Saccharomyces cerevisiae S288C: one gene and its partner. The protein of the gene in region 1 interacts with the protein of each later gene in a biochemical or structural test. Each region holds a gene or a part of one and is shown on either strand. Other genes may lie near its edges.

What was found.
Region 2: the proteins of PIB2 (region 1) and KOG1 form a complex in vitro, tested with the Saccharomyces cerevisiae proteins (one study listed by BioGRID).

The regions. Positions count from the first base shown.
Region 1 is NC_001139.9:450,062-453,875, forward strand, and holds PIB2 (Pib2p), read right to left. Parts: upstream 2,044-3,814; coding exon 136-2,043; downstream 1-135. Other genes in the region: dolichyl-diphosphooligosaccharide--protein glycosyltransferase subunit STT3, read left to right, coding at 2,343-3,814. UniProt on the Saccharomyces cerevisiae protein: Functions as an intracellular glutamine sensor that directly activates the TORC1 signaling pathway, to promote cell growth when glutamine is available. May play a role in repressing NPR1 activity independently of TORC1 signaling.
Region 2 is NC_001140.6:475,612-483,905, forward strand, and holds KOG1 (ubiquitin-binding TORC1 subunit KOG1), read right to left. Parts: upstream 5,062-8,294; coding exon 388-5,061; downstream 1-387. Other genes in the region: Elongator subunit IKI1, read left to right, coding at 5,379-6,308; GPI-anchor transamidase subunit GPI16, read right to left, coding at 6,394-8,226. UniProt on the Saccharomyces cerevisiae protein: Component of TORC1, which regulates multiple cellular processes to control cell growth in response to environmental signals. Nutrient limitation and environmental stress signals cause inactivation of TORC1.

The DNA of each region.
Region 1 (3,814 bases):
CGAAAATCCTCAGGAAAGTGTTAGTGTTATATATTATATTATATTATATCATATTATATTAAGTTTATTGTATACATAATGGTCATACATCAATAGTGTACATCCTCTCTTCGCTTGTCTCGCAAAAAATGTTCATCAGAAACTACTCCAATTCCAGTTTGCAGGCACAGAGCCGATAACACTGCCCAAAACATCATTACCTTCTTCTTGTTCTCCCCCCGTATTCTCATTATCTGCTTCTTCGTCGTTCGACTTCACCTGGATGGGCGTTGTTGTGTCTCGATCAACCGTGGCATGCTCTTGGGACGAACCGCCCTTCTTTGGTCTGAAAAGAGCGTTCATCTGCCTATTCTTGTAGTAATTGCGTAATTTCTTCCTATTGTCATTATCGTCATCTTCGCCCTCCTCAACGTTTATGTTATCCTCGTTCGTGTTTGCGTTATGGTTCGTGGTTGAAAGGTTCTCGTACTCGACCAGACAGTCATCGCATATTTTACAGAGAGTGCCACCGCCATTTATGCCACCGTTGTTTAGTTCGTTGATCATTATAAAATTTGCCTGCGAGTCCAGGTACAGCCAATGGCGCAAATGGTCTTGACAAAAGATGTCCCCGCAATGCCTGCAATGATGTTTCCTTTCCCACAGGGTAAAAGGCTTATGGCAGTAACGACAAGAATTCCTCTTACTGTCCGGAATCCAGTGGTCCTTAGTGGGCGGGTTTACTCTGGCAGAGTTTCTGTTTGAAATAGTTGGTATTAAGTTGATTCTGTCGCTGTTCGGAATAGAATTCGGGAACAAGTACGAGGATATTTTGTTTTTGTAGCTTTCCAAGATTGACGATGTGTTGGATTGTACGCTGGATTGAGAAGATATGATCCGTAGGTTGTTCGCATTCTGAACGCTAGCGGATTGCGACTTGCTTGGATTAAAGCCATGTTCCAGGTTAGATGCCTTCTTGTAGTAAGACGACAATGTTGCATTCAACAGATCGTCATTAGTTATGTTTGTCTCTGAAACTTTCCTCAGCACGGCGGGGATGTATAGCGGTTTTTTAGGGTTACTGATCTGTCTTACATTTGATTTATGTTTATTGGAATTAAAATTCAGATTAGTGCTCGAAGCAGGCTGCGGTAAAAATTCCAGCGAGGGTTTCCTTAGCATCTGCTGATGCGGCGGTTTCGCCGCATGATTCACCGAATCAATAATGACGTTCGTGTTGCCAAACCGCAGTTGGGACATCGAGCTAGAATTCGTTGTAGTCAGCTTGTCGACAATATTTTCCACCTTCGACGTCGACGATGACGACACTGAAGACGTGGACGAAGATGAAGACTCTTTCGCCTTGTTTTCTTTACTCAACCTCAAATTAGAACTAGCATTCATTTTGAACGACGACAACTTGCGTAACGCCTGCGTGGTTAGATTCTTTTGTCGAACCTCGTCATCGTCATCGGCATCATCTTCTAACTCATTGAACACAGTTTTGCTCTTTGTATTCTTGCCCCTGCTAACATCCACCACGCTATTGGTGGGATCTAGTTCAGGGTTCGATCTTTGGTCATCCGTGAATGGCAACGTCTTGCCGATCTCCTTACTAGCAGAAGCCTTCCTACCATCTATCTGCCCTTCACCGAGCTTGCTACTGTGGCTGCTGCGAACATTCTCCTCAGCAGAGTTCTTCCTCAATATGGACACCATCGCCGGAGATTGGATCTGCTGCTTTCTGTCAACAAACCCAGTGCCTGCCCCTGTTGAGCTCTCTTGCTGCAACTGCTGCTGACGATGTTGATTTACCATCGATTTCAATGAGATGCTGCTCAAAATACTCTGTTCGGAATGCGTTGACGCCCTGGGCGCTATCTTCTTCTTTTCAAACGTGATGGGAGATGTCACGGTGTCAGCACCGCTTTCCTCATCACCTTTCCTGCCACGGTAGTCATGGTTCCTTGGTCCCAGGGGAACTCCTCTGCCGTCTCGCTCATCACCGTCCTCCTCCTCTTCCTTGATCGCGGGCGTTTTGGACACACTATGCAACGCAGTCATTCTGGTCTCCACTACAACTGTGCTGCCCAGTCCTCCTCACTGGCGCTTCGTACCTATTCCAGGTCTCAATAGTCATATCATAAGCTTTCTTTTACTTCTCTTCGCCTCTGCTAAATGGTCACCATCGACGGTTGCTTTTTCGCGCTGGTCGAGAATTGACAAAATAAGACACGAACAAAAGAGCAAGTCTGAAAGAAAGAAAAGCAGCAAAAGCACGGTCTAATTCAACGTGACATAGCATCCGCAATCGCATTCACAGCCGTAAATCCTAACTACCATTCGTCATTATCACAGCTGCCATGGGATCCGACCGGTCGTGTGTTTTGTCTGTGTTTCAGACCATCCTCAAGCTCGTCATCTTCGTGGCGATTTTTGGGGCTGCCATATCATCACGTTTGTTTGCAGTCATCAAATTTGAGTCTATTATCCATGAATTCGACCCCTGGTTCAATTATAGGGCTACCAAATATCTCGTCAACAATTCGTTTTACAAGTTTTTGAACTGGTTTGACGACCGTACCTGGTACCCCCTCGGAAGGGTTACTGGAGGGACTTTATATCCTGGTTTGATGACGACTAGTGCGTTCATCTGGCACGCCCTGCGCAACTGGTTGGGCTTGCCCATTGACATCAGAAACGTTTGTGTGCTATTTGCGCCACTATTTTCTGGGGTCACCGCCTGGGCGACTTACGAATTTACGAAAGAGATTAAAGATGCCAGCGCTGGGCTTTTGGCTGCTGGTTTTATAGCCATTGTCCCCGGTTATATATCTAGATCAGTGGCGGGGTCCTACGATAATGAGGCCATTGCCATTACACTATTAATGGTCACTTTCATGTTTTGGATTAAGGCCCAAAAGACTGGCTCTATCATGCACGCAACGTGTGCAGCTTTATTCTACTTCTACATGGTGTCGGCTTGGGGTGGATACGTGTTCATCACCAACTTGATCCCACTCCATGTCTTTTTGCTGATTTTGATGGGCAGATATTCGTCCAAACTGTATTCTGCCTACACCACTTGGTACGCTATTGGAACTGTTGCATCCATGCAGATCCCATTTGTCGGTTTCCTACCTATCAGGTCTAACGACCACATGGCCGCATTGGGTGTTTTCGGTTTGATTCAGATTGTCGCCTTCGGTGACTTCGTGAAGGGCCAAATCAGCACAGCTAAGTTTAAAGTCATCATGATGGTTTCTCTGTTTTTGATCTTGGTCCTTGGTGTGGTCGGACTTTCTGCCTTGACCTATATGGGGTTGATTGCCCCTTGGACTGGTAGATTTTATTCGTTATGGGATACCAACTACGCAAAGATCCACATTCCTATCATTGCCTCCGTTTCCGAACATCAACCCGTTTCGTGGCCCGCTTTCTTCTTTGATACCCACTTTTTGATCTGGCTATTCCCCGCCGGTGTATTCCTACTATTCCTCGACTTGAAAGACGAGCACGTTTTTGTCATCGCTTACTCCGTTCTGTGTTCGTACTTTGCCGGTGTTATGGTTAGATTGATGTTGACTTTGACACCAGTCATCTGTGTGTCCGCCGCCGTCGCATTGTCCAAGATATTTGACATCTACCTGGATTTCAAGACAAGTGACCGCAAATACGCCATCAAACCTGCGGCACTACTGGCCAAATTGATTGTTTCCGGATCATTCATCTTTTATTTGTATCTTTTCGTCTTCCATTCTACTTGGGTAACAAGAACTGCATACTCTTCTCCTTCTGTTGTTTTGCCATCACAAACCCCAGATGGTAAATTGGC
Region 2 (8,294 bases), on another chromosome or scaffold:
TGTCGAAGGAGAGAGAAAAAATATTTAACAAAGTGCATGCCTCTAAACGTCGTAATTGGTCTGGCTATGACAAACAAAAAAATCGATGTTAAAATGTTCCAACCGAGGATCGAACTCGGGACCTTTGCCGTGTGAAGGCAACGTGATAGCCGCTACACTATTGGAACAGACTTTTAATATTCTGAACTTTCTGCTTTACTAAACATCGTATTATTATACGAACATGAAACAATAATTAACAACAAATTCCAGAACTTGCGACCAGCTGTTAAATTCACAATCAGACCAATTTTTTACTCGACTTTTATTATATAATAGATTATATATATATATATATATATATCTCTTTTGCAGCTAAATGAAAGAAAAAAAAAGAAATGGCACATATCAAAAATAATCAATTCTCTCGTCTTCACACTTGTAGATATTTACAATAGAATCGTGAGAATTGGTGGCCGCAATCATCATTCTATGAGGATGGAAAGCCATCGAAGATAAAAATGCATCAGAAGTGGAAGAGTAGGACAGTGACTTTGGGATTCCCGTAGCGGCTAATGTACTTGTTACGCCATTATTATGTGAGTTTTTAAAAGAATTCAAAAGATCTCCAGATGTCGTCCATATCTTTATTTGTTTAGTCCCTGTCGCAATTATCGGAGCATGCTCATGAACCTGCATGCACGTCATTGTCGTTGGTTTTTGTTGCGAACCGTACTGAGAAGTTACGTTTTGATCAACAAACGATTCTACCGGATCTTCGGACCTTATATCCCATAACTCTACAACACCATTGGTAGCTCCACTGACCAATTCTCTGTAACCACCTCTTTGTAAATGAACATTGTTAATCCAAACTCCCTGCTTATCATTTCCAGCTCTCCAGCGACGTATCATGGAATCTCTTGGATCGAGACGGCGATCATATACTCTCAGGGAGCCATCTGCAAACCCTGCTACGAAGATATTACCTGCTAGCTGATCAGCCGTCAAGGATGTAATTAAAGATGATGTTTTTGCAGGAATGTCCACTTCAACCGTTTCTGTATGCGCATCCCAGACACGGATAACCTTAACATCACCAGTTGTTAACAATGATCCTCTTATTTGTAACCATTCGGTTAGTAAACCTGTGGATCTAGGTGTCAATAACATATCGGTCAAGCCTCTCCAGGCGGATACAATTTTAAAGGTGTCGACATCTTGGTAGTCTCTGTATATTTTGATAACACCGTCTGAAGAACCTGTCAATAAAAGGGCGGAGTCATCCTCGTTAATGAGTTTCAGGTCAGTAACTTTTGTGCCAAAAGGAGTACCATTGGAGAATTTGGACAAAGTCTTTCCTTTCTCCCAATCAAAAACTGTAATGGTACTTCTATCATCTGCAGTAATCAGCTGATCTTCAAACTGGGCAAACTTCATCAGTTTTGGTTGACTTTTGTTATTTAAACTAATCAATTTTTTGGACCAATTCCCATAAATCGATAATTTTTTCTCCCCCTGTGTTTCCTGGATAATAGTTTCATTTCTGTTACGTCTCCACAATCTAGCATTATACTCAACACTGCCAGGTTCATCCGCCTCTTGCTTTTTCATTTGTGGTTCTTGAAAATATTCACGTGAATAGTCTAAAAAGGAACTATTTAATGGCAATTGTAAGGGTTCTGTATGCTTCCGGAATCTTGGAGTCTCAGCTGTAGGATAAATATTATTATTGCCATTCAATAAATATAAGCCCGAGGGACCCTTTTTTGAGGTATGCGATTTCATCGAAGTATTTGATGATTGAGTATCAGAGTCACTATTGGATTCGCTAAAACCAAGACTCTGGAAAAGTTTAGCTAAAGATGTCCGCATTGGATGAGATATCTTTGGGTCATGCTGTTGTTGCTCTTTTTTGAATGCATTATTATCTACCCTCTCATTTGGTGAGAATGATCGTAATGAACTTTTTACAAATTGAACCTGCGAAGAATTAAATCCAAATTTACCAGTTTGGTGAGCTTTCGAGCTTCTTTTCAACAAAAATTTTTCCATAACTGCAAATGGTCCACCAAGTTCCTTATGGGCGCTTAATTCAAGCAAAATATAATCTATAACCTGCTTGGATAATTCCTTGTTCTCTAAAAAGGGATCTTCGGCTAGAATCAAGAGAGATTTCCAAACAGTGTAGAAAATGGAACCCTGACTAACTGAATACTTATCGGAAGTGTTTCGAGTATTGATATCACTTTTCTCTAAAAGTTTTATTTCTTCCAACAAATCATTGAATACAACTACAATAAAAAAGTTAGAGTAACGACTCACAATATGCGAAAAATATACGACTAGTTCCTTACGGACTAATGATGAACCATCATTGATTAAAGGTAAGATTGAGATCAAGTTGCCAATTTCCTGTCTTTTTAACTTCCTCAAATCAATAACTTCTAGTTGATTTTGCATAACTTGACAATGACGAATCTGCTTTTCAATTTTCATCTGCTGCTGCTCAAGATGCTGCTGCTGTTGCTGGGACTGTTGTTGTTGTAGATGGGATTGATTTTGGAGATGCTGTAATTGCGAATGTAATTGCTGATACTGTTCTTCAAATTCTTGTTGCAATCTCAAAATTACCTCTGCATCTTGAAATCCAGATATGAAATGCTTCAATGCAAATATAGAAGCTGTTCTAACTTCAGGTACAGGGTCCTTCAAAGATTTTAGTAATATTTCAACAGCACCAGTATTCATACATACAAACCTGTTTAAGGGGTTATCAGCAAACAATAAACCTAATAAAATAACACACCACTGTCTTAGTAGGGGTATCTCAGAATTATCAATATAAAAGCACAACTTGTTGACCAGTTCCAAACTAAAACAATTTTTTTGCCCCAGAGGAAAGTTTCGAACGAATGATGCCAAAACAAAGACAGCCATAGCTTTTTGTTCATCGGTGGTATCATTAGAATGATAAAATGGAAGATTATTGTGGCCCAAGTTGGATGTTCTATTTCCTTGCTGGCGTTCATAATATCTTGAAGATGGACCATTTATATTCTGCGATGCAGTCATTGTCAACGGGTTCCCACTATTTATCATGGCTGAGCCATTTGTAGCTGACATGCCATTAACACCCCAATCAGGTACTAACACTGTAACAAAATACATATAACCCTTTTCTTTGATTAATTCACTTTGCGTGTTTTTGTAATCTATTGACATGATACGGGCCCAAATAAAAACTAGGATGGGCTTCAACTCAGGTGCTGGACTTTGTAGCAGCTTCAAAACGTAGGGGAAGATACCTATTGAAAGTGACAGGTAGACAGCCCACGGGCCTAAATCTAAAAATCTGGATAAAAGTACCAACGCACGTATACGATGCACTTGCGAAAGAAGAACCTGTAAAACGATAGGAAGCTGCTCAGGCGGGTGTCTGACATTTGAAGCATATTTCAACCACAATTCAAAAGCAGTCAAATTTTGTTCAAAAAATCCTGTAAATTGTTGTTGTTGTTGTTGCTGCTGCTGTAATTGTTGCTGTGAGCTTTGCAAAGATATAGATTTTCTTGATTGGAGAGCAGGGTTATTTACTAGAGACATTGTACTTAAATTGGCCACTGCAAATCTCGATTGTGTTTGAATACTTCCGGCTTTCGTATCTTGGGCATTCGACTTAGAGCTGCCACCATTCTGTAAGGTTTCTTGTTGTTGTAGAATCATCTGACTCTCTAAGGCAGTAGCGGGAGGAGCATTTTTCAGATCAATGACTATTTTAGTCAGTACTTCATCCATGGCTAAATCCCAAGATTTCCACATTGGATGTGTGGTTATACTATCTGGTAATTCTGGATCAGATACAGGATGGCAATTGTACCACGGCATTATTCTTTTGGCTAGAAGAAAATTTCTGAAAAGCGCAGCAATCATTAAATCATGTCTGAATAATTTTTTGAAAAGTGGTCGGGGGAGGGATGTCCATGCAATTGTGTCCGTTATAGCTGTAAAAATCCAATTTAGTTCTCCCAACGGCGTTCTCCTATCCGACAACATTCCAGGGATATTGACGTTGGGTATTTTGGACTTGAACGAGTTCTTACTATCACCAAACGGTTGATTTGAAGTACTATTTTCGAAGAAAATTTTATATTTAGAATCTTTTAAGGGTGACTGCATGAGAAAGATACGGATGCTAATCTCTATTGGACAGGTCAAACAACAACTAAACAAATCTGCGGGTAGTTCCGGACTCATAAGTAAAAGTTCATCGGAAGTGCAAGAGGCTAATTGGAAACAATCTTGATAAGCTGAAGTTGGTGATGGCGCGGCAACATCATGATTTCCCTCTTCATCATCTTTAATCCTCTTTTGCACAAACTTCTGAAAGTTGATTAATATATTTTCAGCACTGTTGCAATCATAGACAAATATACATGGCGCACCTAACCAAGTTTGCAGGTCATACAAAGATACCGGAATATATTGTGTATAACCTCTGTTGAAAACCCAAATTTCACCTGATTTTGTAGGCTTAGGCACACCATGTCCGTTGTAGTGGAAAAGTATCCTATCTTCCTTAGAAGTTCTTCTTAGCGAGTTGCAAAACCGTTTGACATCCTCTACACAAGGATCCAAGCTTTGTTTATAGCGTGTTCTCAAAGACAGAGTTTCGTACTGTGCTTGTAAGTTTTTACCAATTTGTTCTATTGCTTTCTTCGAGTCCTGGAAATTCAATGGGTCTACCCATGCTTCAACTCTGGCACAGGGATGTGTCTTCATAACATCAGGGGGATCGACACCTAAATTCAAGCATAATAAAAGGGCCGCACTTACTGTCTTCTGTCGATCTTTCATAATCTTCCAATCGGTAATCGGCTGGTAATAACGATTTACATCTCGTTGTTTATCCTCTTCAGGAATCGGATTTCCATTAGTTTTGTGTCGTTTATCATCAAAGTAGAATATGAAATCATTCGCGAGTGATTGTAAAAGTTGGTCACTTTGGTATTGCTCTTCAAACCCATGTCTCATCACCGTATTGAGTGGCTTTAATGGCTGAGGTCCATAAATCTCCGGCATTATGTATCTTTTACCCTTCTCTGCATGCAATAGGATTCGCTAAATGTAATCAAAGGAATCTACAAACCAAATGCATTCGAAAATAACTTTACAAGTTTTAAAATCCTCTATATACTTATGTAAAGTACTACCTATTGATGATTTATTAAAGTATTTTTGATACTATTAATGCTGCCTTGATTATCATCTCATAGTGCGGGTCACCTTGAAAAATCCAAATATAAGAAGCGATGCCATTATAACCTCTGGAGAATGATAACTTAAGAGCTTTTTAATAGCTCCAACCCAAGCTATTGCTACAGGTAGAACAAGATATAATGGCCAGTTCGTCACATAACCCTGTCATTCTTTTGAAAAGAATCTTATCGCTCACAGAAAGCTCCCCTTTCATTTTGTGCTTAGATTCTATTGCCCAGACCTCATACAAGCTCATCCAAGAATTCGTCCACCAGAGCAAGAGTAAAGGAAATGAGTATCCAATTGTGTACATTTCGTTCGAAACAGTGAATAAACCATCGTACTGTACTCAATTTATTGACGCTACGCAGATGGATTTTGTACATTTAGTGAAACAAATTATATCATATCTACCGGCTGCTACTGCCACACAGGCAAAAAAGCACATGGTCATTATCGATTCATTGAACTATATTTCTACAGAATACATAACAAGGTTTTTGTCTGAGATCGCCTCTCCTCACTGCACGATGGTTGCGACTTATCATAAAGACATCAAAGATGAGAACCGTACGGTAATACCTGATTGGAATAACAATTATCCTGATAAGTTGACTTTACTGCAGTTTATGGCCACTACAATAGTAGATATTGATGTGGTATTAACAGGCACTCTCGATACTGAGGAGGTGAGTGAATTGTTAAACGAATTTAGAATTCCTCGCGGGTTAAATAACGATATATTTCAATTACGACTTGTTAATAAAAGAAAGTCCGGCAGGTCATTGGAATACGACTTCATAGTAAATTCAAACACCCACGAATATGAATTATTATCAACCACTAAGCAAGAAGAGGAGAGCAGTAGTAACGGACTGGAGACACCCGAAATGTTGCAAGGATTAACAACATTCAACCTAGGAACATCCAACAAACAGAAGCTGGCCAAAGATCAAGTCGCATTGCCTTTTCTGGAGGCACAAAGCTTTGGACAAGGGGGTGCTATTGTTTATGAGTACGAAAAGGATGACGATTATGATGAAGAGGATCCATATGAGGATCCCTTTTAAAAAGTAGAAACTGATGGTAAATAGTGAGTGCTTCCAGATTATGTAAACTACGTATACTTCATACACATATCTAGATGCTAGATTGTTAGTCTGTTTTAGTCTTTTTTTTCCCTAGGAACTTTTCCTTTAGCTTTAGCAATTTGTATTTTAAGCCAGATTGCAACGTAATCTTATCGGCCTCTTCGACGGTGACCATTCTCTTCACCATCAAATTGTATAGCATACCGAATATGAGTCCCATGATTGTAGATGTTAGAATGATGACGTTATACGGCATACTAAAATCCGGTGTAGACAGGGATAACAATAGGGTAGAGGTTCTCATTTCATAAAGAGACGATGAGGACTCCAAAGATAGCACGGTGATTACAGCTGCATCGATTTCAAAACCATGGTTTGCATCTGGTGGATACTCGGCAAATTGCAGAAGAGCTTTATCGAATTGATAAGTCATTACAATGTCCGTATTAGCTGGAATTAACATCGTGAACTCCAAGTGGCCAGGTCTTTTTCTATCGGCCGCTTGTAAATAGTATTTATCTAAGATGATATCGTTTTCTTGCAATTGCGGAGAGGTAGTAGAAGTAATTTGAAGAGAGGATAGGTAAACTCTCATGAACCATGGCAATGATTCGAAATAAATCAACTTCACAGGGGTATCATTGTCGTTATGGAAAACAATACGCATTCCACCACGATCTTGTCCATTACCAGTCAGAGATCTGCTTACGTGAATTGGGACAGGAACTATGGGAGTAACTTTAGTAGTGTCCGTCGATTCTAAAATAAAGTCGTAGCCCGAACCACCCTCATTTTGATCGTTTGATAAGTCAAAGCAATTATCATGTGTGCTGAAAATAGTATCGTCAACTGACAAAAACGCAGTCCAGGTAGAACGGTCAACTTCTGCACAAATTCTTGTGGGCCTATTAGCAAACAGGTTGCCATTGTTTATTGGTCTGGCAAACAGCTGAGACAGCTTGAAGTGAGTCTGCGAAGGTTCCGGTAGAGGGAAGCATTGGTAAGAATCAAAGGGTTTATCCGTGTCACAACGCAATGTGTTCCCATCCAAAGGTTTGGGGATAGGTCTCTCACCTCTTGCCAAGGCGGAGGGAACGTGTGTTACCATTTCTATGCGTGCGTCCATCTCGTAGTGACAAAGAGCATCTTCATCTTCAGAACAAATAGTGGCAATATCCAAGGAAATACTATTCCATAGAGAGTCGAACAATTTATGACCATCCAAGAGAGATGTCAAACCGGATTTGCCCCTAGTAGGCAATAGTTTTATGAACGGCGTCAAGTTCTCGGTACAGATGGGTTCATTGGGCAACGATGCTCGCATCAGGTACAGTTTCTCGGTGCTATTGAAAAGAGGAGCTCCTATATCAGAAGCATATGACCGCCGGGGAAAGGTCGTCCTTGACTCGTCGATAAAATTTAAAGAAGAACAAAACAATCCGCTCAATGAATTGGACAGTTTTTTCCAATTATGGAACGCCTGTTCCTGATCCATGGCCTGCACTTGCGACCACAATTCCACACCTGAGGCACCTGCCTCTTTTCCAGCATGTGGCAACTGTCCCCACGACAGGGCATCCCAGAATCCTCTGGTAAATCTTAAATGAAACTGACGCGTGGCAGTAGATTCCAACAATGGTGGGATGGCCCGTGGGAAAGTCGTGTAGTGCTCATACGCATCATATGACATGGATGATACGGCCGGGTCAAACGGTTCCGATTGCAGTTGGAATGCAAATGAGAGTAGCAGATCATTGTTGGGCAGCGGCTTCAACACCAGTGCTTCGTCGTACGGATACCATAAACTGTCATTTATACCAATCTGCGACACCGTGTCTTCTGCGAACACACCCAGTAGTAGAGTGCCCAGCATGAAATAGGCCAGTGTGAGGATCATCGTCGTCTTGCCTATGCTTTGTTTGCTTTGAACACTTGTTTCCGCTCTCCTTTTACTTATTGGCTACT